7 linked regions of the Macaca mulatta genome follow. The protein of the gene in region 2 interacts with the protein of the main gene of each other region in a pairwise test. Links are inferred from orthologs where the notes say so. Each region holds a gene or a part of one and is shown on either strand. Other genes may lie near its edges. The genes, in order: GPANK1, TRIM23, SNAI1, CARD9, KLHL42, FAM133A and GEM.

Region 1 (3,976 bases), on a different chromosome or scaffold from region 2:
GCAGAGTCAAAACTTGGGCCCCAGTTTTGCCACTTTAGCACAGGTTCGTCGGGGGTTATTGAGGGGACTCTTCGTTGATGGGAAGTTTTCAAGTAGTATGTAAGAGAACAGTGTAGAAGTGGAATACGTGAAGGAACATCTGGTGGGAAGATATGTGAAGCCAGCAAGTAGGGAGGTCGAAGAGAACTCACTTCACAGAAGAATTCATTGCCACGGAGCCCACAGAACCAGGAAATCCAGGACACCTCCTCTGAGCTGCTCATCTTCACGTCAGCTGAAAAAAAGAGTGTCAGTAAAGCTCAAGTTCTCCTTCCCTGCCTCGGGTATCCTCCCTCCTCCCACATTAGAACCACCCTTTCTTAAAGGATCCCAAACTCTGAAGCACTCCTCTCCAACTCCTCCAATTTACATCTCAGTTCCCTTTTCTTTGACGTTAAACATTCTTTGGGGTCCCACCACTTGAAAGAAGCCAACAGATACTTTGACCCACCAGCCCGACCCACGTCCCTGGAGCTCCCGAAAGCCAGGGCCCTCTCTTCTCTGTGTCAACTCCGGCAGGGACCTCGACTCAGGCTCCGTACCAATGCAAGTCTCTGCACGACCCCGGCGCCTTTCCCAAGGATTTCAAAGTTTATCACTCTCAAGCAAGAATCGGGCCCCTCCTTTTCTCAAGGGTTGGGGGCGACTGTCAGGTCCCTTTCACCGGATTCCACACATCCCCCCTCCGCTCCTCAAGCCACCTCTCCCTCCTTGCCGGACCTGGTTGCTTCCTCCCCCCGCCCCCATATCAAAGTGCGGAGACCCATGTGCGGCTCCCAGCGACAAGCGACTAGGAGCAGCGAAGACCTCAGACTCACCAGCTGGACGGGGACCAGGACTGGGGTGGGGTAGGGAAGTTGCTACTTCGAAGGAACGGCGGCGACCGCTACAGCGCAGGCCGCGGACCCGACCGCGGCAGGCGAAGTGGGGTGGGGGGAGTGGAAATTGGGGAGGGTGGGGAAGAGGGCAACACGCAAGCGCCAAGGGTCAGGTGCCGCGGTGGATGCCGGGACGCGGAGTCCCCGGTAGAGAGAGAAACCGGCTAAGTGAGGGAAAGCGAACTACCAATCCCAGGATGACCCGCGCACGACCTGGCTGTCACGAATCCCCGGAGGAGGACGCTTGCGGGCGGGGCGCAACGAGAAGCCACCGGAAGCGGAAACCAGGTATGGCGTTCGGGGCCTGGGAGCCTGGGCAATACAGTTGTGTGCTCACTGGGCGAAGAAGCTGACTTAGGGCGGGGAAAGGAGGGAGCCAGGCTGGACCCCTCCTCGCAGCTCTCCTCACAGTTGCCCTCTAGTCCCGGCGCGGTGCTGCTTCCCTGGGGACTGGCCTATCCTTGGCCAATGCGCTGGGTCCTTATTGCCTGTTGGGCCCCTAGTGCGAGTCAGTCCCGCCAGAGACCCTTGACGGGCCTTCTGTTTTACTCCGGGCTCCGGCCTCATGAGGCGAGAGGTGCGGCTTGGCTCCGTGCGTAGGGACTTGGGTTGGGAGGGCTGGGCTGGGCTGGGCTGTGTGAGAACCAGAACGGCCCAGTGCGCTAACCTGAGGTGGTGCCAGCCATTCTGCTCGTCCCCTTGCACTTCTCCATTTCCCCTTAGTCTCTAAGTGTGACCTTCGAACCCTGGTCAGAGTAATGGTGAGGGGCAGGCGTGACGTTATTTCATTACACGGCTTCTCGGCATTCCACAGGTTTCCCTCCGCCTCCTGAGGGCCTTTCCTAACCCAGAGAGTGGATTCCTAGCTCCAGAAAATGGGCTTGGAGCGGGGGCCACGTAGAGGAAGGCGAAGGGCATTGTGGGGGCGTTATGTAAAAGTAGGACCCCAACCGACAGATCCTAGCGCTCGCGCCACCTGGGCGCGCGGAGCTTTGCTCGTTTACTATTGGAAAAGTTCCAGCGCGGGAAACTGAACCGGGAGCTTTGCGCACGCCTGAGCCATCAAGTAATGTGGGTGGTGGTTTTTGTTGTTGTTGTCGCCACGCATGCGTCTCCGTGCCGTGTGGCTATTTGATTGTGTCAACTCTGCTGATCAGAATAGCGCCATTTTGCGGTACGGAAGCTACACGGCAACACGTATAGGAGCCTCTCCCCGAGATCTTCTAGGGAGTGACCCGTCTATTTTTGTTTGGGAAGAGGAAACTCCGAAATGGGATCACGGAAGACTTAAAGGGCCAGGTTTGATTTTTTTTTTTCCTACTGGTATGTCTGTTTTACGGGGTGAGAAAGTGATTTCAGAAAGAGGCTGGTATTTATTGTTGGTAAGGATGGGGGTGGGGGCCGGACGCAGGACCTCTGGACGACTGTCTCATGGAGTTTGATTAATTTTTACTAAGGAGCAAAGTCGGTATTGTAGGGTTTCGTGTTTTTACGCATATACTCTCTCCCTTAGACCCTGCAGAGTCTTAAGTTGTGGGGTCACTTTAGCGGCAGGAAAGTGTTTTTGACTACTTTTTCTCATCCCAGCAGGTCCCTGAGGCTCTGGTTGCTACAGAGTCACCAGGAGCTTGGCTTGCTTGTCGCATCCTTCCCTTGCCTGGTATCATTTTCTCAGTTCTCCCAAAAGCCATGTCCCAGCCCTTCCTCATCACCTTCACCCCAGCCACTGACCCCAGCGACCTCTGGAAGGATGGGCAGCAGCAGCCACAGCCCGAGGAGCCAGAGTCCACCCTGGATGGAGCTGCAGCCCGAGCTTTCTATGAGGCCCTTATTGGGGATGAGAGCTGCGTTCCTGACTCCCAAAGATCTCAGACTGAACCTGCCAGAGAAAGAAAGAGAAAGAAAAGAAGAATCATGGGGGCAGCTGCAGCAGAAGCAGTGGCAGAAGGAGTATCAGGAAGATATGGACAAGGGAGATCCCTTGAGGCTGAGGATAAGATGACTCACCGGATACTGAGGGCAGCCCAGGAGGGGGACCTGGCAGAACTTAGGAGACTGCTGGAGCCCCATGAGGCAGGAGGAGCTGGGGGGAATATCAATGCTCGGGATGCCTTCTGGTGGACCCCACTGATGTGCGCTGCTCGAGCGGGCCAGGGGGCAGCTGTGAGCTATCTCCTGGGCCGTGGGGCTGCCTGGGTGGGGGTCTGTGAGCTGGGTGGCAGGGATGCGGCTCAGCTCGCTGAAGAAGCTGGCTTTCCTGAGGTGGCCCGCATGGTCAGGGAAAGCCATGGAGAGACAAGGAGCCCAGAGAACCGGTGAGGGGAAACTTTAGCTCAGACCCCTGTCTCATTGTGTTCTGCCTCTCCCAGCCACTCCACACCAGAGGCCCCAGCACAGTGCTGAGTTCTTTCCTTATCCTCATGTGTAGGTTGACAAGGTAGTATAGTCAAGTGGTTATGAATATGAGCTACCTGGATTTAAAGCCTGATTTCACTTACTTGGGCAAACAACCTAATGTCTACATGTTCCAGTTTTCTCATCTTAGAAATGGGGTAGTAAGGATTGTTGTTAGGATTCAATGGGTTAATATATGTAAAATGCTAGAATAGTGCATGCTGCATAGTATGCAATATATGAATGTTAGCTGTAGTCATTATCACTAGTATCCCTCCCCTTGCCCAAGAGTTTGCTAGGCCTGGTTACAATTTTTTCTTTTCAACTCTTCTGCTCTGGGTCCCACAATGGTTTAAATAAATTTGTTTTTAAGACCAGTAGTGAGAAGGAGGGGAAAAGTAGAGTAAGGAGTTTGATCTGTAACTGAGTGAACAGTCATTTCAGATAACACCACCACCTTTGGACCAGCCTGGATTCCCTCATTATTAAGTAGGAAGGAAGTCAATTTGTCCCTTTTTTTTTTTCCCCAGACAAGGTTTTACTCTGTCACCAGGCTGGTGCGCAGTGGCGTGATTTCAGCTCACTGCAACTTCCACTTCCCGGGCTCAAGCATATTTTTTGTAGAAAGCAGGTTTTGCTGGCATGGTGGCATGTGCCTGTAATCC
Region 2 (3,960 bases):
TCGTCAGTGCCACAGGAAGAAACGAGAGACAGAAGGAAAAAGCACTTTACATGCCCGCTGTAATTCATCTTAGTTCACAGAGATCTCCACGGTAGGAGCGGGACGTCAGCTTCTGCCGCTAAAATCTCGTGACTGAAGCAGCATAGATCAGAAAGAGTGATTTACCAGGTATCTATTTCATTCTAGAAAGGAGCCCGTAAACCTAAAAAGCATCCAGGCGAAATCGCTTCCTCCCGCCTGGCGCCAAAGGACAGAGCAGGAGGGCGAGCACTGACGGTGTTTAAGAAGGCTGAGGCCTACATGGCAAAGGCTTCGATAAATAGGGAAGGGAAGAAAACAGAAAACGGGTACTCAGGTTCGCAAAAGTTTACCTTTCAGCGCCAGCAGGTGCTCCTGTTTAGGGGGATTCACTTCCATTTTGACCAGCACTTTTGACCCACGGCCTACGGGGGCTGGACAGGTTCAACTTGGCCCGGAAGGAAACGGAAAACCTCGCGTTTGGCAAGACCAGAAGTCAAACGCACTTTCAACTTCTCTCCGGTGGTGGTACCTTAAATTTTCTTACTGTGTTCTTTACAGACTGGCTTCTTCTCACCAAGTCCATTTCTTTTATCTTAGAAACGTATGCATAAAACACTTTGTTTTCCATCTGCTATCGCACATCGCGACTTCAGGAAAAGAAACCACCCCTCGGTTACAATACGCCGCCTCCCAAAGGCCAACTTTGCCGGAGTTTAAAAAAAATAAATAAATAAAAGAGAGAGTGGCATGCTGGGATTTGTAGTTTATACGAAAATCGCGTTGCATGCAGGGAGATGCCCGTATCCCTTCACCGCCCTCAGTTTACACCCTGGTTGGTTTGCGATTCGAGAGGAAAAATCATTAAAGGAGCTGGAGTTTCACCCCAAAACTTTAATTCTGTTTTATCCCTTCTTTTTTTTTTTTTCCCTTGTCTTTCCTCCAGCAGTTGCAGACTACGTAATGAAAAATAACAAAAGTGCCCATGAGCGAGGCTGTGCAACGAAGTACCCCACGACTGCAGGGAGGAGTAGTAAGAGTCGGCTAAGCGGCGCCCTGTGTCCTACTGCGCCTGTGCGCCGGTAGCGTGCGCAGAGGCCTCTGGGTAGGTGGCTTAACCCCGCCTCTCAGTTGAGGACTCTGAAGGCTGCATCTGTGGCGCTACTCCTACGAGGATGGCTACTCTGGTTGTAAACAAGCTTGGAGCGGGAGTAGACAGTGGCCGGCAGGGCAGCCGGGGGACAGCTGTAGTGAAGGTGAGGGACCTTGCGTGCTCTGTTCTCCACCATTGGCCTCCCTTCGGTTCATCCTGGAGACCTGGCTGCATCGCCACGGCCCAGGCTTCGATGGGTGGGATGCGCGGCCTCTGGGCCCCTTTTGGCTTTACAAGTCTTGTCCTCTCCTCTGCATCCTTTCTCTCCTATGGCCTGAAGTTGCCTGGTCTTCTGCTCATGACATGTCATAATCGGAACATTTATGAAAAGGAGCTTGCGGTCCAGTGACCTAGACCGGTCTTTTCTCCAGGTCCTCTGCTTTTAGTTAAACTCAACAGGCATTAGTTAGCTTAGTATTATAAATTGGCCCATCGTCATCGTAACTACGTACTACGTTAGGTGTTTTAGCTCGTTAATATCTACTTATGAAGTAGATGTTAATTCCCATTTTACAGGGAGGAAATCCAGGTTTAGGTAAACACAGTGTGTGGCAGAGCCCCGGGTTGACCGGCTTTAAAGCCTATGCTTTTCCCTATTGTACTGCGTCTGTAATGAGACATCTGTTACTGGCTGAGCTGCCCTCTCTCCTGTTAGTAGTACAGTCTATTAACACTTTTCAGAAGTCTGCAACATCGTCATAGCTGGGCGTTAACGATAGAGTTAATGAATTTCCTTATGCTTGAAGTTTGAGATTCTACCATGTATAAATGCTCCAGAATGAATTTGCTAAAAAATCATTTGAAATATGTGGCAGTCATTTTTCCCTTCCACACTTGTGCACGGAGAGATCTGGAGGGGAGAACTGATCTCATTGGTTTTATAGAGTAACCTTCGGGAGCATCTCTAATCTAAGAGATTGAAAATTCTCATTCCTGGCTACATATTAGGATCACTGAAGATTTTTAGTACACTACTGATGCACTCCTCCTCCAGTTCTGATGAGGTTGACAACAACAGTAGATTTTAGGAATGCCCATAAGTTATTTTAATATGTAACCAGGGTTAAGAATTACCGAACAGGATAATATATGAAGTTCTTTTAACGTCTTGAAAAATAGACACCTACGATTATTCAGTTAATGTTGGTTTTGTATGACAGCAAGTGAGACATTTCTTCCCACAATTTAGTATCAGTCAGTATTGGTGGTCGTTGATTCAGATGACCTTTAGGTAGTAATGAAGTTATTCTACAGGTGCACAGCATATCTGATAACGCAAAAGAGCCCTCGTTATTAGGCATGTTGTGTGATTGAGATTTTATTTATTGAATTGTGCTTTTGCTAAGTAGAGAATACTTGCAGAGTACTTTGTGAATTAACTTGAAGTTTAAGTTTTATTTCATAATTGGAAGGGGTATCATTGCAGTATCTATTTTGTTGTTACGCTGTTTGCCTTATAGTCTCAAAAGTGTACCAAAGCCTGATGTAACTCCAGTTTGTTACAGCACAGAATTTGATACATCAGAGGCTCACCTTGTTCATTTTCATCTTAACATGTAAAATGTTCCTGAACTGTGCAATAAAATAGTCCTTTCTGACAAAATCTTCATGCCATAATTTGTAGTAGCTATAGGGGTATAAACTGAAAAAAACCTTACTGTCATTTGTATAGATGAAAGCAATAAGTATTTATTGGAAGGTAAAAATTGAAGTATATAATGCTAATACTGTGTAAAATGGCCTTGTGCTTGTGAACAAGTTGATAATTACATGGTTTTTATCATTAGAGAAACCAGTAACATAAAAATCTGATATGGCTAGGCGCGGTGGCACACGTTTGTAAAGCACAAAGTGCCTGGGAAGCACTTTGGGAGGCCGAAGTGGGCTGATCACTTGAGGTCAGGAGTTTGAGACTAGCCTGGCCAGCATGGCCAAACCCTGTCTCTACTAATAATACAAAAAGTAGCCAGGCATTGTGGTGTGGGCCTGTTAATCCCAGTTACTCAGGAGGCTGATCAGGAGAATCACTTGAACCCAGGAGGGGGAGGTTGCAGTGAGCCGAGATTGTGCTACTACATTCCAGCCTGGGTGACAGAGTGAGACTCCATCTGAAAAATAAAAAATAAAAAATCTGATATTTTGAAATAACTGACATGTAAAAATGTATCACAGTTTGTTTTGCTTAGTGAGTCTTCTTAGGCCTTTTAAAATTTAGTCTGAGGCTGGGCACAGTGGCTCACACCTTTAATCTCAGCACTTTGGGAGGCTAAGGTGGGAGGATTGCTTGAGCCCTGGAGTTTGAGACCAGCCTCGGCAACATAGTGAGACCCAACCTCTACAAATAATAATTAAAAAAATTAGCCAGGCATGGTGGCACATGCCTGTGGTACCAGCTACTTGGGAGTCTGAGGCAGGAGGATTGCTTGAGCTCGGGAGGTCGAGGCTGCAGTGAACCATGCTCAGGCCACTACATTCCAGCCTGGCTGACCCTTTTTTTTTTGAGAAAGAGTGAGACCCTTTCTCAAAAAAAAGAAAAAAAAAAAAATATATATATATATATAAAATCTGATTGATTACAGTTTGATTTACATGTAATAAGTTTGAAGCTGTTTTGGCATTTTGTGAAATGTAAAATTAAGAGCTTTTTCCTATCTAGGGCTTTTTGCTGTTAACCACAATTCCTATTCATAGATACTGAGGAAATATTTTCTTGCTGGATTATTTACCAAGTTGATGCAAAATAGTCTAGTAACTTTATTTTCGGACCTGTGTTTGGTTTGCTAATCAAT
Region 3 (3,933 bases), on a different chromosome or scaffold from region 2:
AGGGAGAAGATTCCACAGGGTTCAAGCTGGCCAGGTTCTACCATTCCTGGCCCGGCGCCTGACCTCTGAGCAGTGAGGGTCAGTGAGGTATCTGGGAGGACTGGCATTTCGCGGGCTTTATTGGCATCTTATTCGACTAAGGCTACCCATTTCTTTTCCTTCCTGCACCAGTAGCCCTGATTTTAACATGTAAAGGTCCAACTGCTGGGCTCCCCGTGCCTGCCCAGCTCACAGGGAGATTTGAACCCCTCAGGATGCTGCTCTCCTGCCTGCCTCTCTCGCCTCCCATCCGGACATTATTTTAATGTAAAGGCATGGCTGAGGCACAGAAATCCCCTTGAAATGTATCATTTCGGTCCTCATTGACTCCCATTGTGTGCCTTAATGGTGGGCCCAGTGGGTGGGGGCTGGGAGGGGTGGAGCAGGTGCATGGGGCAGGGGTGCCCAGCACCTGTTCCAGTCGCAGCTGCTGGCGCACTGCGTGGCAGGCCCCTTTAATCCGGGGGTATCGCATGTACAGTGCCCCCCTCGGCGCCCTTTGTCCCCACCGGCCTGGTGCCGATTTCACACTTGCCAGGAGTACCATGAAGGCGTCTGGGGGGCGAGGGATCTGAGGAGTGGGGGTCAGTGCCTCCTGCATATGCGTGCAGCCCCCGCCCCCAGCCCATCATGTCCTAGAATGTCTCCTTCCCCTTTTGTTCGGGTTTGTGTCTCATCACACTTAGAGCACTTACTGTGCAGGAGGTAGTGCTCGGGACTTCACCAACAGCCCTGGGAAGGGAAGGGGGGTGCCATCGTAACTCCAGTCTTACAAATGGACTCCAGCCCCTTTTCCAGATCTCTAGAGTCAGCCCTTAGTTCACAAGGGTGAACTTACCCTTCTCATTCACATGAAGACTTAGAATGCAATCAGCAAACGCTTCAGGCCTGGCGTGGGGAGGCTGCTGAGTAATGGCAGAGTGGAGTAGTGCTCAGGCACCCCTCCCCCAGTCCTCTGTGTCCCCCACCCTTTGGAGTGTCGAGTTTCCATTTCTGCCCCATGAGAGTGAGTCCAGCTCTCAGGTGCTCCATAAGTCCCTATGGAATGCATGGGTCCCATTGGAATCATTCTCTGGACTCTCTCCTACCCTGGTAGCTCAGTGTAGCACCCTAGGCACCCAGGAGGTGATGGAATGAATTCACTCTCAGCTCTTAAATTCCATCCAGCGCTGGGATTTCACAGACAGGCCCTGGCCTCGCGGGCATGTCAGGCTGGGCGTGAGGGGATTGGAGAATTGCATATTTTTTAAAGAGACTATTCAGTATTATAGAGTAGTGTCTAGCACATAGTAGGAGATCAATAGATTTAAAAAAAAAATTATAGACAGGGTCTGGCTTTATTGCCTAGGCTTGTCTCAAACTCCTGGCTTCAAGCAGTCCTCCTGCCTCACTCGGCCTCCCAGAGTGATGGGATTACTGGCGTGAGCCACCACACCCGGCTTCAATAGATTTTTGTTTAATGAGTTATTGTTATGACCTTTTATGTGGAAAATGCTGCATCCCCCAGAAAAAAACAAACAGCATTATTGGTGTTTTTGGAACTGTAGCCTTTTGGTTGGAGCAGGGATTATTACAAGGCATGAGTGAGGGGCAGACTCCTCTGAGGCCTTTTTAATTTTTAAAGCAGACTTAATTATTCTCTAAGGGCTTATTGAGGACTTACTGGGTACCCAGCTCCATATGCAAGACTTTTTCCGACACAGCCTTGGCCAGGCAGATGGTGTGTCAGAGGCACAGGTTTCTATAGCCTCTTCGGTGTTAGAAAGGGGCCCAGGCCCTGGGCTGGGGCTTAGAATGGACTCAAAGAAGGCCCCTGCCCTTATGGGACTCAGCCTGATTGGAGAACAGACAAGGAGATTTGGGATTACAGCACCAGAGGTGGGGTAGTGAGGAAAGCAGGCTGCTGGCCCAGCCCCAGGAGTGGCCTAACCAGCTTGGAGGTGGGGGTGGGGAGGCCTCTTAAGGCTGACTCTGGCTTTGGCCCCGATAAGTGACAGTAGGACGAATCAGTAAAGATGTTCGGTCGTCGTTGACCACTTCGCACATCTCTGCGGGATGTGGATGAGTACTGTGCCCTACCTTCTGTCACTTACCAACCCCTATGAGTGGGGGATGGATAGCCCGATTTTACAGGTGGAAAAATGGAGGCTCAGAGAAGCCAGACAACTTGCCCAGAGTTGCACAGTGGGAAGCAGCAGAGCTCCGTCAGGTCCCAGCCTTTGGACTCTGGCTGCGTGTTTGAGTCCTGACTTTCCTGGGATCGTGGGATTCTTTCGGGGTTTAGGGTATGCGGGGAGGGATTCCCATCACTGCCAGCTGTTGTCCCACGGCTCATTCGGCCTTTCTGGCATTCTCTCCCCAGGCGAGAAGCCCTTCTCCTGTCCCCACTGCAGTCGCGCCTTCGCTGACCGCTCCAACCTGCGGGCCCACCTCCAGACCCACTCGGATGTCAAGAAGTACCAATGCCAGGCGTGTGCTCGGACCTTCTCCCGAATGTCCCTGCTCCACAAGCACCAAGAGTCTGGCTGCTCAGGATGTCCCCGCTGACCCTTGAGGCTCCCTCTTCCTCTCCATACCTGCCCCCTGCCCGACAGCCTTCCCCCAATCCAGCAGGAAGGACCGACCCCACGTCCTTCTCACTGCCATGGAATTCCCTTCTGAGTGCCCCACTTCTGGCTGCATCAGCCCCACAGGACCTTGAAGACCATTTTCTGGTTCTGTTTCCTCTGCCTGGGTCCCTCAGTGGGCTCTGGAGGAGGCCTTCCCGTGGCCTTTTCTGTGGAGGGAGGGCAGCTGGCAGTCCCAGCCCCCAGGGGATTCCTGAGCTGGCCTTTCTGCATGGGTTTTTGTATCCAGAGCTGTTTGGATACAGCTGCTTTGAGCTACGGGACAAAGGCCGACAGACTCACTGGGAAGCTCCCACCCCACTCAGGGGACCCCACTCCCCTCACACACACCCCCCTACAAGGAACCCTCAGGCCACCCTCCACGAGGTGTGACTAACTATGCAATAATCCACCCCCAGGTGCAGCCCCGGGCCCTGCGGAGGCGGTGGCAGACTAGAGTCTGAGATGCCCCAAGCCCGGGCAGCTATTTCAGCCTCCTGTTTGGTGGGGTGGCACCTGTTTCCCGGGCAATTTAACAGTGTCTCAAAAGGGACTGTGAGTAATGGCTGTCACTTGTCGGGGGCCCAAGTGGGGTGCTCTGGTCTGACCGATGTGTCTCCCAGAACTATTTTGGGGGCCTGACAGGTGGGCCTGGGAGGAAGATGTTTACATTTTTAAAGGTACACTGGTATTTATATTTCAAACATTTTGTATCAAGGAAACGTTTTGTATAGTTATATGTACAGTTTATTGATATTCAATAAAGCAGTTAATTTATATATTGAAAAGAGTCTGGTGTAATAGAGGAGTGGGTATTTTAAAAGGTCTTTGGTAGGGGAGGAGGAGACAGGAATTCCTGAAGCTTAGATATTTCTGACACAGCCTTAAATCTTGTCCTTGGAAACGTCACAGGGCTTTGGAGTCCTGGGTGTTCTGTCTGCTGGTGTTTGGGTGAGCCAGCAGCATCCATATGAGCTCTTCACTATACACTGTGGCTCTTGTTTACTTTCTCATTCTTGAATTTTGAAACCGATTTGGCGCATGGGGTACAGAGCTGGCTTCCTGGGTCTTATCAACTAGGCAGGCTGCAAAGCTGCCCCAGCACTGCAGGTCTTTTGGGGCCGCTTCCCCCACATGCGAGTGGAATGCGACCAAGGAGACAGAGGATGTCCTTCCTGTTTCCAAGGGCTCCCGGCCCCCTCGGGCCTCCTTGTCAGTCCCACACCTCCGTCTTGCTGCTGGGTACCAAATGGCCTTTGATGCAAGGAAATTGGCTGGCTGGAGCCAG
Region 4 (4,146 bases), on a different chromosome or scaffold from region 2:
TGCCCTCCCAGCAGAGAAGCAGGCTTTCGCCCATTTCATGGAAAGCACCTGTGGCTTTGTTCTTCATGCTGAGCCGGCACCCTCCCCAGATGGCTGCCAGCCCTCGCACCGCCCCAGCTGACCCAGGGGGTTCCCTGGAACAGGTGACCTGGCTACCCAGACACGATGGCAGCCCCCACAACTTTCACTGTCCTTTTGCGTGGGCCTTTCTTGGCATAAGACCAGCCCCCATCTTCTCCGTCTGTCCCCTCACTCCCTTTCCTTCGTCTCTGTGGCAGCAGCGCCCCCAGGCCCTTTGCTCTCTGGGTTTCACTCCCTCACTGGAAGCACCGTGGGGCCTCAGCCCTCGGCACCCGGCAGACAGGACGGTCCCATGGCCGGCCGCGCTCCTGAGCATGTGTTGCTGTGCCTGGTTCTCTAGCAACTGGTGCCTAGTCTCCTGGTGGCCACTCTGACCTGTGGGTTATTTAGTGGTATATTATTTAATTTCCAAATATTTAGGGATTTTCCAGATACCTGTTACTGATTTTTAGCTTCCGACATGGTTAGAGAACATGGTATGTGTGTTAATTCCTAAGGACGGACACCACAGGGAAATCACTGGGGTCCCTCGTTTTACAAGCTGGGGAATCACTGGGTCATGAGGGCCTGGTGCCAGCTCGGGCCCACTCCCCAGCAGGGCCCAGGACGGCGTTCCTGCCTGCACACTCGCTCATGCTGCTGGTGAGGGGCCCAGCCTGGAGTGTGGCATTCCCAAGAGCCCCAGAGGACCCCTAACTCCACTCCTCACTGCGTGATGTCAGGCCTGAGGGCCGGGGGCTGGGAACGGTTAGGCGAGCTCCGCACCAGCTTCCTGGCCTTCCAGCCTGGCAGCCCCCTTCTCGAAGCTGTTGGGTGGCAACTCGGTTCGACCAGCTTTACCGGTGAGGCGGGGCCTGGGGGCTCCCCAGCCTGCAGGGATGAGGCTCCAGCAGCCCCACGCTGAAGTGCATAGTTCAGGGCAGACCCTGCTGCCCGTTGTCTGTGGATGGGGGGCGGGCTGTGCCCTGCCATCACCGGTGCTTCTGAAGCTGGTTTGGGGGACCCTGGGAGTGGCCTCAGTCCTCACGTGCATCCTGGAGAAGAGCAAGGATGCCTCGTGACAAGGATAATGATACCGAGCGACACTTCTGAAAGGGACGCTTCTCCCCCGTGTGCAGCTGGGTGGTGGCCGGTGCCATGGCCCCTGGCAGGCTGCAGTGGCCTCCTGGGCTCCATAAGGTGGGCTGCAGCCCTTTCATGACCAAGGCGTGTGCTGGGCATGCTGTGTGGCTGTGTGCCCCCTGCACATGCCCTGCCCCGCTGTCCTGAGATGCCGGCGAGGGCAAGGGTGTCCGCACAGGGCAGAGCATGCCCTCCTGAAGAAGCCTCCAGAAACCTATGACCAGGTCAAAGCGGCTGGGTGCGGTCTGGCCTCGTCCAGCCTCCTGGGGGTCTCTGCTGTCTCTTCTACTTGCCAGGTGCCCGGGCTGGGCCTCTGGGGCATTCTCAGGACCCCTGGCCCCCGGCCAGGCTGGGAGGGCTGAGAGCAGTTTTCCTGTGGAGGGCAGAGGACTTCCACTTCCGTCTGCCTCTCGGGGCCTCCTGGGCTGCACGAATCAGAAGGCAGGCCACCAGGGACTGTCCCCCTGTGGGAGGACTGGCGGGACTGTGGAGTTAAGCCATCAGGAAGTGCACAGGCGTCCGGCACGCTCCTCCCTCCCTGCAGCCCCAGGCAGCATCTCCCCGAGGCTCCGCGTCCCAGGCTCCTGGTGCGTCTGCCGTGCAGGTGGCTCCTTGGAAGACCCTCAGGTGGGTGGGTCTGGTACTTTTCTGAAAAGTGACCAAGAAGGTCGGCGCCGGCTTCGTTCAGAATCCTGGCGCTGATCCCCGCAGAGCAGCATGAGGCTTCCCACAGGCAGCCAGGCAGCCTCCGCCGCGCTGCCCCATCCCTTTCATGGCCACTGGGCGGAGACATGTTCATTTCAGTGGCATTACGGTGGCAGGTGGGACCCTGCATTTCAGGCTGGGGAGGCAGGAAAGGGGCCCAGTGTTCCCAGGACTGTCCGCTGTGTGGCCGGTGTTTCTATTCAGCCCCTTGTCTGTCAAAACTGTCCTGAATGGGGTGACAAAGTACAGTGGGAAGTTGAGAAATTCTTCAAAAGACCAAGACCAAACACTTCAAAAGACCAAGTGTCTCCAGGAGTAGTGACCCAGCTCCTTTAGGCAGGAAACCAGCATTTCCCAGTGGGGCTGGAGGCTGAGGACCGGGGACCTGCGTGGGAGGCAGGACCATGTGGCTGTTCCCAGCCTTGCCCCAGTCCCAGAGGGAGTGGCTTTCAGCGGCTGAGGCTTCCACCGTGCTGGCAGAAAGGGACAGCAGTGGCTGGGCTGGTCCCAACATGGGTAGTTCTCTTGTTTCAGCCAGTGGGATGGGGGTCGGGCCTCATCGGGGGCAGGAGAAGAGTCCAGAGATTGACGGGTGCCCGTCACCTAAGAACCTGGAGAAAACAGCACAGCAGCACTCCTGGCCAGCCAAGGGCAACACCGACAGCCCCTCCCAGCTTGCGGGGCCGGCGGGGAGTGACAGAGGCACGCTCCTGTGGGCAGCTCTTCCCGGCCAGTGCAGCGACCCTGGCAGCTGGGGCAGGGCTGGGTGGCCACTCTTGCATCATCAACAGCCGGCCATGGAGGAGGGAGGGCACAGCGCGGGATGTGAGCAGGCGTCGGTCAGGGAAATGGGGAAGTTCCGCCAGAACCGGCTCCCCCAGCTGCTGCCCTAGTGGGAGGGTCATTGGCCAACCTGCTCTCACCCAGCTTGGGCTGGCCGTAGTGCCAGGCAGGTGCCCACAGCTCCTCCACCCATGGAGGTGGCTGCCCCTGTAGGCTCCAGGGCGTGGTGGGAGTGTCCAGGAGGCGGAGGCCAGAGGCGAGTCATGCCGTGGAGGCAGTTCCTCTCTCAGACCCCATCTGTGTCTCCCCCGCTGCATATCTGGGTGACACGGATGGCCAAGGGGCAGGAGCAGGGGCTGGGAAAGGCTGTGGAGGGGCCCTCGGCTGGTCTGGCGGGGAGCGGGTCACTGTGTCTCTGCCGCCTCCCTGGGGGATCCAGCATGGGGATGGGACATGGAGCTGGGTACCTCTCCTGGATGCCCCTGGGCTGACCCCCTCGACAGCCCTGACGAGAGCCCTGGCCCAGCGTCTGAGAAGGAGCGGGAGCCGGGCCTGGGTGGGGGCAGGAGCCGGCGTCACTCTCAGCGGCTGCCCCACACCCCCCAGCCTGCCTGCGAGGCCATGTCGGACTACGAGAACGATGATGAGTGCTGGAGCGTCCTGGAGGGCTTCCGGGTGATGCTCACGTCGGTCATCGACCCCTCGCGCATCACGCCCTACCTGCGGCAGTGCAAGGTCCTGAACCCCGACGATGAGGAGCAGGTGCTCAGTGACCCCAACTTGGTCATCCGCAAACGGAAAGTGGGTCAGTGCTGCCCCGCAGGCCCCAGGTCCCAAACCCAACCAAGGAGCCCGCTTGGAGGTGGCTGCACGCTCTGCCACCCTGACCCTCGACCCCAGGAGAGCCCCGCCTGGCTTTGCCCCTGGCCTCCCAGTGAGGCCCAACCTCAACCCTGGCACATGGCCACCCTATCCCCCAGCCTCTCCTGCCAGCTCGGTGCTGCCAAGAGGGGCAGTGGGACTCCCACCACAGCGGGGGCTCCTGAGACAGCCAAGGGATGGGTGGACAGCACTTTGTCCCCAGCCTAGTACCAAGACCCACAGGGTGCCTCATCCACGACCCAAACCACAGCACACCTCATCTGCATCCCAGCCTCCACCTGTCCCTGCCCCCGGGCCCACCCACCCCAGCCCTCTGCCTCGCCTGTGCCCCGCCCCCAGTTAGGCCCCTCTGGCCCGCAGGCGTGCTCTTGGACATCCTGCAGCGGACCGGCCACAAGGGCTACGTGGCCTTCCTCGAGAGCCTGGAACTCTATTACCCACAGCTGTACAAGAAGGTCACGGGCAAGGAGCCGGCCCGTGTCTTCTCCATGATCATCGGTGAGTGACGGGGAAGGCGGTGGTGGGGGCGGGCAGTGGTGCTGGGTCCTCTGCCCAGCCCCCATCCCTAGGAGC
Region 5 (4,160 bases), on a different chromosome or scaffold from region 2:
GTAAACAGTAAGCTATTTAGTAGTTAAGTTTTTGGGAGAGTCAAAAGTTATATGGGGATTTTTGACTGTGCAGGGGTCGGTGTCCCTAGCCCCCACATTACTTAAGGGTTAAGTGTATTTATATAAGTATACATGTAATTTACAAATATAAATGTTTATACATTTATAATATCTAAAGGTAACAAAAGTCTGTCGATACACTGACACTTTTTTTCTGTACCCTGAGGGCAGACATTTCCTCTTCTTACTCTGTATTTTTGTGTAATTTGCAGTTTTTCTAAGAAGCATGCATTCATGCATTACTTGAATGCTTTTTTTTTTTTTCAGGGGATGAAAAGGGCCTTCCTAGAAAAAAGACAAAGACTACCAAGGATGTATGAAGGGAAGAAAGAACTGTGAGGAACTGCGGTACTAAGGATGGCCTGGTGAGCGTCAAATGATGTGTAGCTGGAGGCATGCAAGAGGAGACAGAGAACTCAGGGCCGCCCACCCCTAATCAGACCACCACCCATAGCCACACAATGTTTCTTTGTTGTTTCAATTACAGCGCATAGAATGTTTTAAAATAACACTTCTGATACCAAATTTTAAATATGGTATCATCTCAATGGTGCAAATAATGCATTAAAAATGGGCTGGCAGGAAATATGCCAACCTGCAGTTACTGCCTCTAGGAAGAACGAGTGGTAATAATCATCTTTTTGCTTCTTCATTCTTTTCCATTTTCTAGTTTTCTGTAACCATGTATTATCAGGGAAAAAAGCATACTTTTCAAAATGAATTCCATATTATAGGAGAAATAAAGCCAGTTATTTCCCCAAATAATCCCTGGCCAAGGAGGACCCTCGAGTCAAATAGATAGATATATAAAGGATTCTCTGTTACTGTTAAGACTTCCTTCGCCTAGCTGTGAGTTCCCCAATTCCTTGCTCCACACTTCAGGACCAGGACCCTGTGAGGATTGAGATGGAAACACGTGGATGGGAAGAAAGGGTATTTTCATTCTTTCTTGAGTTACATTGATTCTCTTCCCTGCTTCTGAATGACTCTGAGGCCTCCTCGGCGCTACCGTCTTTATTTCCTACCATCTCTTCCTGTATATGCTCTTTGCTCTTGTTTTCATATTCCTTCCCTGGTTCGTTTCCCTTCTCCCCTCTCATCCCACTCCTCAAGCTCCTCCTCTTCCTTTCTTCAAGTCACCCATATTGGAGGCAGGAGGGATTTGCAGGATGGGAGGGGGAGAAGGTTGGGTAAATGAAAATATTCCAATTCTATAGTTGAACACTTCCAGGCTCAAGCTTTGGGTCATGACGATGGCTGTCCAGGGAAGGAAGCAAAAGAGAAGATAAAAAATAAGAAAAGCAACCCCTATTGCAAATGTTAATACATTTCCAGTGATTATCTCTTGGTCATGATGGGTGTCACAGTGTGAAAGACTCTCTGTTGTCACAGTCACTGACAACAGAAAAAAATCCCCCAAAGTCAGTGTCACAGGTTACTGTCCAGTGTGTCATTACCATCAGGATCGAATCCTAAAAACTAAGAAAAATTTTTTTAAAAATTAAGGAGCAATTTTCTTTTAAAGTATTCTTATAGGAAATCACGACATCTTTTTTCACAAGAACAGAGACAAAGAAAGCAGATTCACCTAAAGGCACAATACCTGCCAAAAAACCACTCCACTACTTGACCTCACTGGGGAGTTCCTCTTCGCAATTTCTTAGTTCACTGGGAACTTTGCCAGCACCAAGGCCAACAACATTCCTGAAGATGTCATTTCCACCTCAGCACACCCTCCCCTATTTACTGGCTCAGTAAACACCGGGCCCATGAACTAATGAACAAGTGAATGAATGAGAAGGCAGCAGCACTCTGCCGGGGTGCTTACCTCTTCTGGTTCATGGAGGCCACCTGGAGCCACTCGTTGGTGCTGGGGTTGTAGGAATGCGCAGCAGAGATCTCCTGGCTAGTGATCCTGTACCCGCCCACTATGAAGAGGTAGTTGTCCAGGATGGCAGACCCATAGCCCCTGACATTGACCAGGTCGGGAGGAAGGTTGTTGGCCAGCGGGAACCAACGCTCAGTCATCTCTTCGTACCTGAGCATGGACGGGGGCTCCCCCTGGTAGGGGTGAGGGGCCAGGGGTCCCCCCAGGAAGTCCCCGAGGGCCACGAGGACAGGAGTCCCAGTCATCCGGGCCTCCCTCAGCCTCTGCTTCAGGCTGACATCCCCCGGAGCTTGGGGAGGAGACCCCAGGAGGTGGAACTGGGGCTTGCACAGCACCTCGTGGAAGTGGACGACCATGAAGCGCAGGCAGGCCTCCTGCAGGTCGGGCAGCCCGTACACCTGCGCCAGGCGGTACATCTCCAGGCAGTTGTTGAGCCGCACCTGGGACAGCAGCAGCTGCAGCAGAGACGTGACCTGCAGGAAGGAGGCCGCCTCCACCAGCTCGGACAGCAGGCTCACCTCATCCATCTCCTCATCCTCGTCCACCCCGCCGCCCTTCTCCCCGCGCGGGCCCAGGAGCCAGCCTTCGCGGGCCCCGCCGGCGTTGATGAAGTCCAGCACCAGCCTCAGGCCCGGCGCGCTGAGGCCGCGCAGCTGCTGCACCTCCGGGCCGCCGGCCTCCTGGCTCAGGGCCTCGCGCATGCCGGAGCGGTAGAGGGCGCGGAAGTAGTCGCTTTGCTCGATGAGCTTCCTCTTGCTCACCGGGTAGCAGCGATCCTCCAGGCGGATCTGCACCATCTCCTCGGCCGACATGGCTGGGGGCCCCGGGGCGGCGGCGCTCACCGCCAGATCTGCGCGCCGGCCTCCCCGCCCCCACGCGCGCGCCGGTTCCGGGCGGGGCGCCGAGGGATGGCGGCCCGGGAGGAGCGGCGAGGTGAGGGCCGCCCGCGCTCGCCCGGCCTCTCCAGCGGCCCCTCCTCCCGGGGCCCGCTCCCGCGAGGCGGCGGCTCTGCCCTTCTCCTTTTCCTCAGCGCCAAAAAAGGGCCGGCGGAGCGCGCCGGGCGTCCTCGCGCGGGCTCTCCCAGGCGGCGCCAGGCGGGAAGGGAATCCCAGCCCCCAGCCCGCAGCCTTCTCCCCGGCCGCCCTTCTCACTTCCGCCCGCGGGACCCCGGCCGCCGGCCTGACCTGCAGGCTGGATCCGGCCCTCGGGGAGGCCCGGGAGGCTGCGGGCCTGGGCGCCCCGGCTGCGGACGCGCAGCTGCGGGAGGCGGAGGGCGCGCGTCCCCGCAGCCTCTCGGCACGCCCGGGGCGCGCGGCTCCGCCGCCTGCCAGGGGCTGCAGCGATGCTCCGGGGTACCCCAGGGAGAAGAAATTAGTTTTCTCTCCCACGCTGCTTTACACGGGCTAAAGAAAAAGAAATGAACGTGGGAGGAAAGAGGAGGCAGTCTCTGGTCCAGGGAGACAAAAAGGCATCAAATCTAGGATCGTCCTTCTGGCCCAGTCCGGCATCGAGTGTCAGTGGGCTGAGGCAAGCAGGCAATCTGTGGACATGTTGGTGGCAATGTTGGTGGCACGTAGAGCTGATTCTCTGGTAGGGTCGTCGCGTAGGAGCCATCTTACAGGAGGTCCAGGCAGATGGCAGCAGGTTCTCAGAGGAATCGGGTTGGGAGGCAGGGGACCTTGCATTTGCCACTGGGGCCCGTTGTTCTCCCTAAGTTATTAAAAGAAAGATGAAAGCGCAGTTCGACTAAATAAAGTTACATCACGTGGCTTCTGGTTTTAAACCATGTTTTCTATGAGCCATTGCTTGTCTACTTCAGTCTGCTTGGACTAGCCATTACGGAATGTTATACTGTCGCAAAAGATCTGACAAAATCAGCTCATAGATGTCTGCAAGAGGTAGCTTTTCTTGTCACCCCGTTTCTCCACCTACCCTGCCCCCATCATCTGAGGACTATTAAGAGAGATCACACGTTCAGTTTGGCTGAGCGCGATGGCTCACGCCTGTAATCCCAGCACTGGGGGAGGCCAGGGTGGGTAGATCACGAGGTCAGGAGTTCGAGACCAGCCTGGCCAACATGGTGAAACCCCGTCTTTACTAAAAATACAAAAATTAGCCGGGTGTGGTGGCACGCGCCTGTAATCCCAGCTATTCCGGAGGCTGAGGCAGGAGAATTGCTGGAACCCAGGAGGCGGAGGTTGCAGGGAGCCGA
Region 6 (4,109 bases), on a different chromosome or scaffold from region 2:
TTAGATACCTACTACATAAAATTAAATAAACTAATCAACCAAAAAAAAGCTACAAAAATAAAAGTGTGTTACAAGATACTTATGGATACACAATTAAAGTAGAGAATTGTGATTAGAAAAAATCATCTACTTTCAACATTTTCATTGCCTATATCTAGGAAAAAATAATTCCAAATTGAAAATCACAATTGTTGATTAATACATTATTTTTATATGATGCTTTTGTAAGCTTTTTTCTATTTTTCATCTCCATGTTCCATTCCAAACTTTTCCAGGATCAGTGTGAGTGGTTAAGTAGTTATCCGTAATCCTTGAAAAGCATCCAAAAAAACCCCCAAGCATCCCCCCAAAAAAAAAACCCAACCAATTTTAATATGAAATTTAGTCACATTTGCCCAATATCATGCATTATTTCCTGAAGAAATCATAGTTGTCTTAAGTAAGTCAAGGCCAAAATCATTTTACCTTTAGGATTTCACCATTGATTAACTTCTTGCTTAATTCAGTAGAAAACAAAAAATATGAATAGACAGTTCTCAAATAAACATAAACATATGAAAACACAATCTTACCACTAATCTAAGAAATACAAATACTAATATTGATAAATTAATTTGGAGATGTTGATTACAAATGTAAATGTAAGTAGTGATTACTTCTCAGTTTTATTTTGAGTTACTTTTAATTTCTTCTTTGTATTTCAATGTATTGTCTGACTTTATCAATGAACACATATCATTTTCACAAAATGTAAAGTTATCTTAACACCGACTCATTAGTTGTTTGCAACTAATGGATCAGAAAAGAATTTAGAAACAGACCCAAGCAATTTATTTAATGTGATCAAAGTAGCATTTCAAGTAAGCAGGAGATAGAAAGATTACCAAATAAATGGTACTAGAAGAATTAGCTAGCTAATAAAAATAAGTATTTTAAAAATCTGGATCCCTACCTCATGACTCACTCTAAAATACTAATTCCTGATGCTACAAAGTTTAAAACATAAGAGCATACTTTTTGTAAAATCTCCATAATTTAAAAAGAAATAGTGAGTCTCAGAACAATATTTATGGTATAACACCATTGATGTAAATCATTGTTTCTATAACATATGCTTTGATTAAAATTATTCAGCGAAAGGATATGCACTTAGTAAGTTTCATTCACCATTATACTACAATTCTCTACCACATTTGCCCAGCATACGACAGGCACAAAAATATATTAGCTGAATGACAAAAAAAATGAACCTTTATGCACTGTTGGAACTGTAAATTGTGATAATCATTCTGCAGAGAGTTTGGCAATATGTATACAATAATAATTCCATAATATGAAATGATCATTCCCAGGCCATTCATTTCTAGGAATTTATCTTATGACCAATTTTCAGAAGTGCATAGAAATATATGCTTTAGGTATCCAGGGACACTTTTATTATAGCAGGAAAATAATATGTATATAAGGGGAGAGATGGTATAGAAATAGCCACCCTATAAGAGGAATCTGTTCAAATAAATTAAGGCAATTATTTCCATGGAATATGCACTTATTTAAAAATAAGATGTTGATCATTTGCCATGAAAATATAGCCATTAGTAACTGATAAATTAAATGAAAAGACTACAAAACATAATATGGTATCACATAGATAAAGCAGTATACATAAATAGGCAGGTATGTATATGCACAAGGAAATTTCTAGAAGGAAGTGCATCAAAATGCTAGTAATTCTTATCATTTGGTGGTTAAGATTGTGTGTTTTTACTACTGTTGGAATTTTCTGTATTGAGGTTTTATCTTTGCAATGTTCACAGACTTTGACAATTAGAGATATACAATAAAAGTAAATGCATTTATGAGACAGAAAAGCATTTCATAACTTTTAAAAACGTGACTACATGACAAAGCACAAATTCTATAAAGATTAATCTAACTTTAATACAGTTCCTCATTTGAAATGAATAATTTATCATATTTCATATTTTAATTTACAACTTGTATTCTATGACCAGGTTAAGATAGTTAATGTGGTTAAGTAGGCTATTGTCTACATTAGTATGCCAAATTACCTCTGTGGATTTTCCTGTTTCCATAGAATTATCAAGATTATTATCTAAAATAAATCTCTAAATGACTGCATCCTGTAAACTTTTATTCAGATGGAGATGAGTAATTTTTGTCATTCTTTAAAATGTGCTAAATATGATCCTTACCTTTCAATGAAAAGTAAATACTCGTCTTTTTTATTGTACCAAGGTAGTTGTTCTGTAGCAGAAAAAAAAAATCCTGTAAATAAAAATAACAAATACCCGTTTTTAAACTTCATTTTGCAAAAGTTTATTCACATATTACTGGACTTGTAAATCATACTATAGTATGGCTAGAATTTTACAACATTAGAAGGAAATTGGTGGCAGATGACATCGCATACACTGACAGAAGATGCACATTCATTAGCACAAATTCCCCCTCCCATCCCACTGTTCTTGGAATTGAAACCTGCTGCACAAAAGTATAACGCAAATCATTTGCTTTTTAACAATACTACCTAACATTTAATACACTCATTGTTTTATCTACAAGGTTGTTGCAAGCATTGAGAAGGGCTACGTGGCAAGTTAGCAGCAAGGTTGGGGTATATAATATGCCAGCCTAAAAAGAGAAATATAATAAAAATGGTGTAACTGACTCACGGCAACATGGGTTCGCAAACCTTGTAGATGGATATAAACCAGGCTTGCCAAACATCACAGACAGCACTTATTAAATCAGCTTCGTGGAATGCAATACGCCTGCTGTCTAGTCCCTCCCCCCTCTGCCAATAACCGACTCTCCCCTTTTTTATCCAGTGTAAAAATACTGCTCATAGAATATTTAGAGAAAATCGTTTTGTTTTTAAATCGTCCACAGTCACACTACCCAATGACGCCATTTGGACCATTTTCATTCAATTTTTTTTTTTTTTTTCTTTTACAGATTTTTGTCAAGAGACCCGTGACAAACTAAACGGGAATTCAGGATGGGCGGATGGGAGAAGGAAGACACGCCTCTTCTGCCCTTGTTAGGAACTATGGCTGGTATTTTTACCTCATGTCTACGCTTTTTTTTCCTCTTTTAATTATAAAACTATAAATATAGACTTTTTGGGGGGCTCGGGGACACCTTCCAGGGGGTCGCACCTCAGCCGGCGAGCAGCGTCTGGGAAGGTGGGCGGAGCCAGGAGTAGTGGCGTTTGGCCGTTCGTTGGGCGTACGGTTTGTCAATTAAGGTGGACCAGCAAATGAGGAGCGAACTAAAGGCACACTGGGAACGAAATTAACGGGAGGTCTGACTGCGAGGGGAGGGGGCTCGCGATCTAAAACGAGAAGAGATCTCGGGGTCTCATACTGCGCCATTCGGCTGCGGTACATCTCGGCACTGTGTAGCTGCAGCCGGGAGAGGCCTTGCCGCCACCGCTGTCGCCCAGGCCTCCACTGCCGCTGCCACCTCAGCGCCGGCCTCTGCATCCCCAGCTCCAGCTCCGCTCTGCGCCGCTGCTGCCATCGCCGCTGCCACCTCCGCAGCCCGGGCCTCCGCCGCCGCCACTCAAGCATCCGTGAGTCATTTTCTGCCCATCTCTGGTCGCGCGGTCTCCGCGGTAGAGTTTTTCAGGCTTGCAAGATGGCAGAAGCAGATTTTAAAATGGTCTCGGAACCCGTCGCCCATGGGGTTGCCGAAGAGGAGATGGCTAGCTCGACTAGTGATTCTGGGGAAGAATCTGACAGCAGTAGCTCTAGCAGCAGCACTAGTGGCAGCAGCAGCGGCAGCAGCAGTAGTGGCAGCAGCAGCAGCAGCAGCGGCAGCGGCAGCAGCAGCAGCAGCGGCAGCACTAGCAGCCGCAGCCGCTTATATAGAAAGAAGAGGGTACCTGAGCCTTCCAGCAGGGCGCGGCGGGCCCCCTTGGGAACAAATTTCGTGGATAGGCTGCCTCAGGCAGTTAGAAATCGTGTGCAAGCGCTTAGAAACATTCAAGAAGAATGTGACAAGGTAGACACCCTGTTCTTAAAAGCAATTCATGATCTTGAAAGAAAATATGCTGAACTCAACAAGCCTCTATATGATAGGCG
Region 7 (4,255 bases), on a different chromosome or scaffold from region 2:
GGTCATCATCTCTCTAGGTCTCAGGTTTCTTATGTATAAGATAAGTAGGAGATTGGGGCCACAAACCTGAGACTAAAGGAATTCTAAGTTTTCATTACTCTGTGTATTCCACCTTTGCTAGCTTGGGACCTAGCAGGTCTCAGCAGCTGGTCATGTAGCTAATTTCCAAAGCAGATAAATGCCTGCAGGATAACTGTGAATCGACTCTAATCACAGCAGAGTCCACTGCTTCAATAGATGCTGGTGCCTTTGGCTGCTTCCCGGAGCCACCAGCCAACCCAGAGATGAAGCTGGCTGAAAAAGCGGACGAGTATGTTGGAGAGGCCAGCATCATCTCTAAACACAGCATCTGGGAAATACCCATGTCCCCGGAAAGAGGTCATTGAAATCCTTCACTTAGTGGTGCAGTGCAGAGACTCAGGCAAACCAGGCTTTGAGTCCTGACCCTGCCACTTATACCAGCAGTATGACCTTGGGCAAGTTGTCTGGCCCTATGTCATCTTCCTCCTCCATACAATGAGGGTAGCAATTGAGTCACCTTGCAGGAGTGTAGTAAGGATTAAGGTCCCAGGAGGCCTAACAGTACCTACTAAGCAGAGGTCCTCAGAGGTACATAGTAAATGGTAGTAGTAGTTATTATCCTGTGCCCTTTGTTCACAGGAGTCTCTCATAGGGGCCGTGGGCTCAGTGCTCCTCCCCATGGCCAGGCTGTATTGGCTCATGCCCAAGGTGTAGCCTTGCCAGGGAGCCTGGTACAGAGATGCTGGTGATTGAGATGCTGATTAAATTCCCTGATTGAGGAGCCTCAGCATTCTGGCCCAGAGCAGCAGGGCCAACAACATTTAGCACAATCTGCTTGGATCCTCAATTAAATTGTTTTCCCAAACTGCCCTTTTCAAGGTCTTGTCCTCTTTCCTCACCTCTTTCTGGCCCCTTCTCTCTGGGTCCTTGCCAGAGAAGGGAAACAAAGCTTTGTGGGGCTCCATCTGCTTCCCCCTATCCAGAGAGAAGGTGACAGAGGCTGTCTTCCTTGCAGAAGATGCGGTTAAAACAAGCCTTGGCCATTCAAGGTGGCTGCAGTCTCATCCTGGAGGCTAAAGTCTCTGCGCATTCCAGGTTGATCCCTGTTTTCTTGGCAAAGCTGAGCTCTCAACTCAAACCTGCTTCTCCCTCCATCCTTTATCCCGCTAGCTTGCAAGTGTTTTGCTGGGAAGGACGATTAAGTGGCACTTAGAGTATTTTTCCATTTTCCTGTGTTCACCTGGTAAAAAAGAAAATAAAACAAAATAAAGGAGGCCCAGGATTGAACTGTCATTATTTTTTAAATGGAGAGAGAAGGGGTCATGTGACTGCGAGTAACCGATTTAGCCAAGTGGCTGCAACTCCGAGTTTGCTGCAGAGCCGCCCCCTCCCGGCGGGGGCGCTGACGTCACGGAAAAGCCCCGCGGCGGGTCGGCTGGGCTAGTTATAAACCGCCCGGCCGCGGCGGCTGTAGGCGGCGGGCACGGACGGCGGGCACAGCGCAGCACTACCCGCTCCTTGGCCCGGGTATCCCAGCGCAGACCCACGCGATACGCTGACGCCCCGACGCCGATCCGGCCGAGCCAAGTAAGGGGGCGGCCCGGGACGGAGAAGGGAGAGAGTGGGAGTTTCCCAGCCCGCAGAACTTTCGAAGTTGAGAAAAGAACCCCTGAAACGTGCGTTCTGTGCTGGGATTTTCTGGTGGGGGTCAGAGCTTCAAGTGCAAAGGATGTCGCTTCTCATCAGCAGGTTCCTTAGTTCAATTCGGTAGGACAGTCACCTCCTCCTACAGATCGAGTGGTCAGAGAGGGCAGCCCTTAATGATGCTTTATGTATTTGTTGTTTGAATGTAAGTCTGCCAACTGAGGTGCTGCTTTTGAGACTAAAAAACCAGCTGGTGGTCCTGGTTAGTGGCGAGGTGTTGGGGTATGGAGTGTGGGGGTGAGGGTGGGAAAGCACTGTTTGTGCATCTTGCTGATTGCAATGTGCCTACTTACACTTCGTCGCCAGTAGCCCGAAAAACAGACCTTCCGGCTAGGGGAGGCAGTCTGCAAAGGGAAAGTTGTAGCGAAGTTGTTGAATATCATTTAGGGTAGTCTTCAGCCTTCTGATTTGCTTCAAGAAGGGGGGCTGAGAATGGTGGCTCAGGCCTGTGGTCTCAGCACTTTGGGAAGCCGAGGCAGGAGGATCACTTGACCCCAGGAGTTGGAGACCAGCCTGGGCAACATTGTGAGACCACCGTCTCTACCAAAAAATAAAAATAAAAATAAAAAAACTAGTGGGCGTGGTGGTGCAGGTCTGTAGTCCCAGCTCCTTGGGAGGCTGAAGTGGAGTTGGAGGCTACAGTGAGCTGTGATCCTGCCACTACACTCCAGCCTGGGTGACAGAGCAAGACTCTGTCTCAAGAAAGGAATCTGAGTTGAATTAAAGAACTCTTGAGAATGGACGTGGTTTGTTAAGAATGAGGCACTTTCTGTGCAAATTTGCTAGGTCTGAACATGAGCAGATCATTTCTCTGCCAGGGTGTCTAGGTTTGGAGCTGAGATGCTTTAAAAGTGGCATCTGTGGATAAGAGGGCACAGCTGAGGCATAAACTTTAAGCAGAAAATTTCCCCTCTACCCCCAATAATGGCAGGTGGATGCTCTCCAGGCAGCTGGAGAGCATCAAAGCAACTTTACTAAACATGGAAGTTCCAATAAGTGCCTGTCCAGTCCAGCCAGGGTTGCGGTGGGGAGGGGTGGGGGTGATGTCATTGCCACGTGTTTCCCACTGAGGCACAAAACCTGCTGGACACTGGTGCAATTAAGAGCCAAGTTTAGACAAGAGCAGCTAACCTGACCAGTTGGTCCCCAGCAACATTAACTTGTTGCTTTTTAAGTCATCTCTGGAGGCTGCTGGTTCTTTCCAGCTGCCTTTGTGCCAGCTCCGAGTGCAGCTCTTCTTTGATCCAGGTCTGCTTTGAGGAAGGGGTAAGCCCATGGGCAGTGGTTGATGTTAACAGTATTATTTTTTCCATGCAAATGACAGTCTGCCTGAGGAGCTGGTTACTGACAGTGTGAGCAGTGTGTGTGTGTGTGTGTGTGTGTGTGTGTGTGTGTGTGTGTGTGTGTCCAGTTGAAAGCCTGTCTTGTTGGGCTTTGGAGACTGTTTAATTGGTGTTTTTTATGTTAGGGATACTTGCTTCTCATCTCATCTAATATAATATTACTGATGACTGACCATGTATTTGAGCAGAGCTCTCACTCATGCTTACTAATGCTGCCATCTTGGCTGCTTTGCTCCCCAGGACCCAACGATGACTCTGAATGTCACCATGCGCCAGGGCACTGTGGGCATGCAGCCGCAGCAGCAGCGCTGGAGCATCCCAGCCGATGGCAGGCATCTGATGGTCCAGAAAGAGCCCCACCAGTATAGCCACCGAAACCGCCATTCTGCTGCCCCTGAGGACCACTGCCGCCGAAGCTGGTCCTCTGACTCCACAGACTCAGTCATCTCCTCTGAGTCAGGGAACACCTACTACCGAGTGGTGCTCATAGGGGAGCAGGGGGTGGGCAAGTCCACTCTGGCCAACATCTTTGCAGGTGTGCATGACAGCATGGACAGCGACTGCGAGGTGCTGGGAGGTAGGTGTCCCAGCCCCAGTGGGCTTCTTTCCATCAGGCGTGGCCCAGGAAGAAAGAGCGAAGGTGGGTGGCTTATTTACCTGCAGAGTTGGGAGCTAAGGTTTATGCATTTTGGACAATTGATGGGGGAGCTGAGTCTCCAGAAAAGCCCAAGCACAGGCTCTCAGGGCAATAAAATGAAAAAGCTTGTAGACAGGACCAAAATCTATTGAACCTGGGCCAGAAAGGGAATTTTTCAGATTTCAATTCTAAATGGGTGGGGGAAGGCTGATTAGATTGGTCATAGCCAGAGGGTCAGCGCCCCACCTCTGACTTCTGCTGACTCTGACTTGAACATTCTTCCCGGAATTCAGTATAGGCACAGCCTTTTTCCATGGTTATACCTAAAACAAGCCAGTTGGAAAAGCTGTTAGGATGGCTTGATCAGTTTGCTTCTACCAATATTAGAAACTTTTGTGGGTGTAAAATAGTTCAAAATCTGTATTTGAAATAGTATAATAATTTTTTAAAATGTGAAGTATAACAATGATACTTTGTATAGAGTCTGACAGCTTTTCAAGACAATTTTCCCTGTACAATTTTATTTCATCTATTTATTGATTGGAACCTG

What was found.
Region 1: the proteins of TRIM23 (region 2) and GPANK1 interact in binary tests that used the Homo sapiens proteins (3 or more experiments, as listed by UniProt). The link is inferred for Macaca mulatta from reciprocal best matches to the Homo sapiens genes TRIM23 and GPANK1.
Region 3: the proteins of TRIM23 (region 2) and SNAI1 interact in binary tests that used the Homo sapiens proteins (3 or more experiments, as listed by UniProt). The two-hybrid records come from large-scale screens. The link is inferred for Macaca mulatta from reciprocal best matches to the Homo sapiens genes TRIM23 and SNAI1.
Region 4: the proteins of TRIM23 (region 2) and CARD9 interact in binary tests that used the Homo sapiens proteins (3 or more experiments, as listed by UniProt). The two-hybrid records come from large-scale screens. The link is inferred for Macaca mulatta from reciprocal best matches to the Homo sapiens genes TRIM23 and CARD9.
Region 5: the proteins of TRIM23 (region 2) and KLHL42 interact in binary tests that used the Homo sapiens proteins (3 or more experiments, as listed by UniProt). The two-hybrid records come from large-scale screens. The link is inferred for Macaca mulatta from reciprocal best matches to the Homo sapiens genes TRIM23 and KLHL42.
Region 6: the proteins of TRIM23 (region 2) and FAM133A interact in binary tests that used the Homo sapiens proteins (3 or more experiments, as listed by UniProt). The two-hybrid records come from large-scale screens. The link is inferred for Macaca mulatta from reciprocal best matches to the Homo sapiens genes TRIM23 and FAM133A.
Region 7: the proteins of TRIM23 (region 2) and GEM interact in binary tests that used the Homo sapiens proteins (3 or more experiments, as listed by UniProt). The two-hybrid records come from large-scale screens. The link is inferred for Macaca mulatta from reciprocal best matches to the Homo sapiens genes TRIM23 and GEM.

Annotation. Positions count from the first base shown.
Region 1 is NC_133409.1:150,654,814-150,658,789, forward strand, and holds the start of GPANK1 (G patch domain and ankyrin repeat-containing protein 1), read left to right. Parts: upstream 1-1,176; 5' UTR 1,177-1,205; exon of another isoform or gene 1,206-1,494; intron 1,495-2,074; 5' UTR 2,075-2,240; intron 2,241-2,504; exon of another isoform or gene 2,505-2,507; 5' UTR 2,508-2,606; coding exon 2,607-3,232; intron 3,233-3,976. Other genes in the region: CSNK2B (casein kinase II subunit beta), read right to left, coding at 192-263.
Region 2 is NC_133411.1:73,711,484-73,715,443, reverse strand, and holds the start of TRIM23 (E3 ubiquitin-protein ligase TRIM23), read left to right. Parts: upstream 1-1,160; 5' UTR 1,161-1,193; coding exon 1,194-1,274; intron 1,275-3,960. Other genes in the region: TRAPPC13 (trafficking protein particle complex subunit 13), read right to left, coding at 372-417.
Region 3 is NC_133415.1:102,827,301-102,831,233, forward strand, and holds the end of SNAI1 (zinc finger protein SNAI1), read left to right. Parts: intron 1-2,401; coding exon 2,402-2,586; 3' UTR 2,587-3,433; downstream 3,434-3,933. UniProt on the Homo sapiens protein: Involved in induction of the epithelial to mesenchymal transition (EMT), formation and maintenance of embryonic mesoderm, growth arrest, survival and cell migration.
Region 4 is NC_133420.1:6,136,361-6,140,506, forward strand, and holds the start of CARD9 (caspase recruitment domain-containing protein 9), read left to right. Parts: upstream 1-1,346; 5' UTR 1,347-1,419; coding exon 1,420-1,830; intron 1,831-2,342; exon of another isoform or gene 2,343-2,424; intron 2,425-2,996; exon of another isoform or gene 2,997-3,144; coding exon of another isoform or gene 3,145-3,297; coding exon 3,298-3,496; intron 3,497-3,933; coding exon 3,934-4,071; intron 4,072-4,146. UniProt on the Homo sapiens protein: Adapter protein that plays a key role in innate immune response against fungi by forming signaling complexes downstream of C-type lectin receptors.
Region 5 is NC_133416.1:30,134,240-30,138,399, reverse strand, and holds the start of KLHL42 (kelch-like protein 42), read right to left. Parts: upstream 2,801-4,160; 5' UTR 2,761-2,800; coding exon 1,889-2,760; intron 1-1,888. UniProt on the Homo sapiens protein: Substrate-specific adapter of a BCR (BTB-CUL3-RBX1) E3 ubiquitin-protein ligase complex required for mitotic progression and cytokinesis. The BCR(KLHL42) E3 ubiquitin ligase complex mediates the ubiquitination and subsequent degradation of KATNA1.
Region 6 is NC_133426.1:99,944,481-99,948,589, reverse strand, and holds the start of FAM133A (protein FAM133A), read right to left. Parts: upstream 2,801-4,109; 5' UTR 2,697-2,800; intron 2,290-2,696; 5' UTR 2,217-2,289; intron 1-2,216. Other genes in the region: NAP1L3 (nucleosome assembly protein 1-like 3), read left to right, coding at 3,664-4,109.
Region 7 is NC_133413.1:104,656,929-104,661,183, reverse strand, and holds the start of GEM (GTP-binding protein GEM), read left to right. Parts: upstream 1-1,455; 5' UTR 1,456-1,608; exon of another isoform or gene 1,609-1,697; intron 1,698-2,818; exon of another isoform or gene 2,819-2,991; intron 2,992-3,308; 5' UTR 3,309-3,317; coding exon 3,318-3,708; intron 3,709-4,255. UniProt on the Homo sapiens protein: Could be a regulatory protein, possibly participating in receptor-mediated signal transduction at the plasma membrane. Has guanine nucleotide-binding activity but undetectable intrinsic GTPase activity.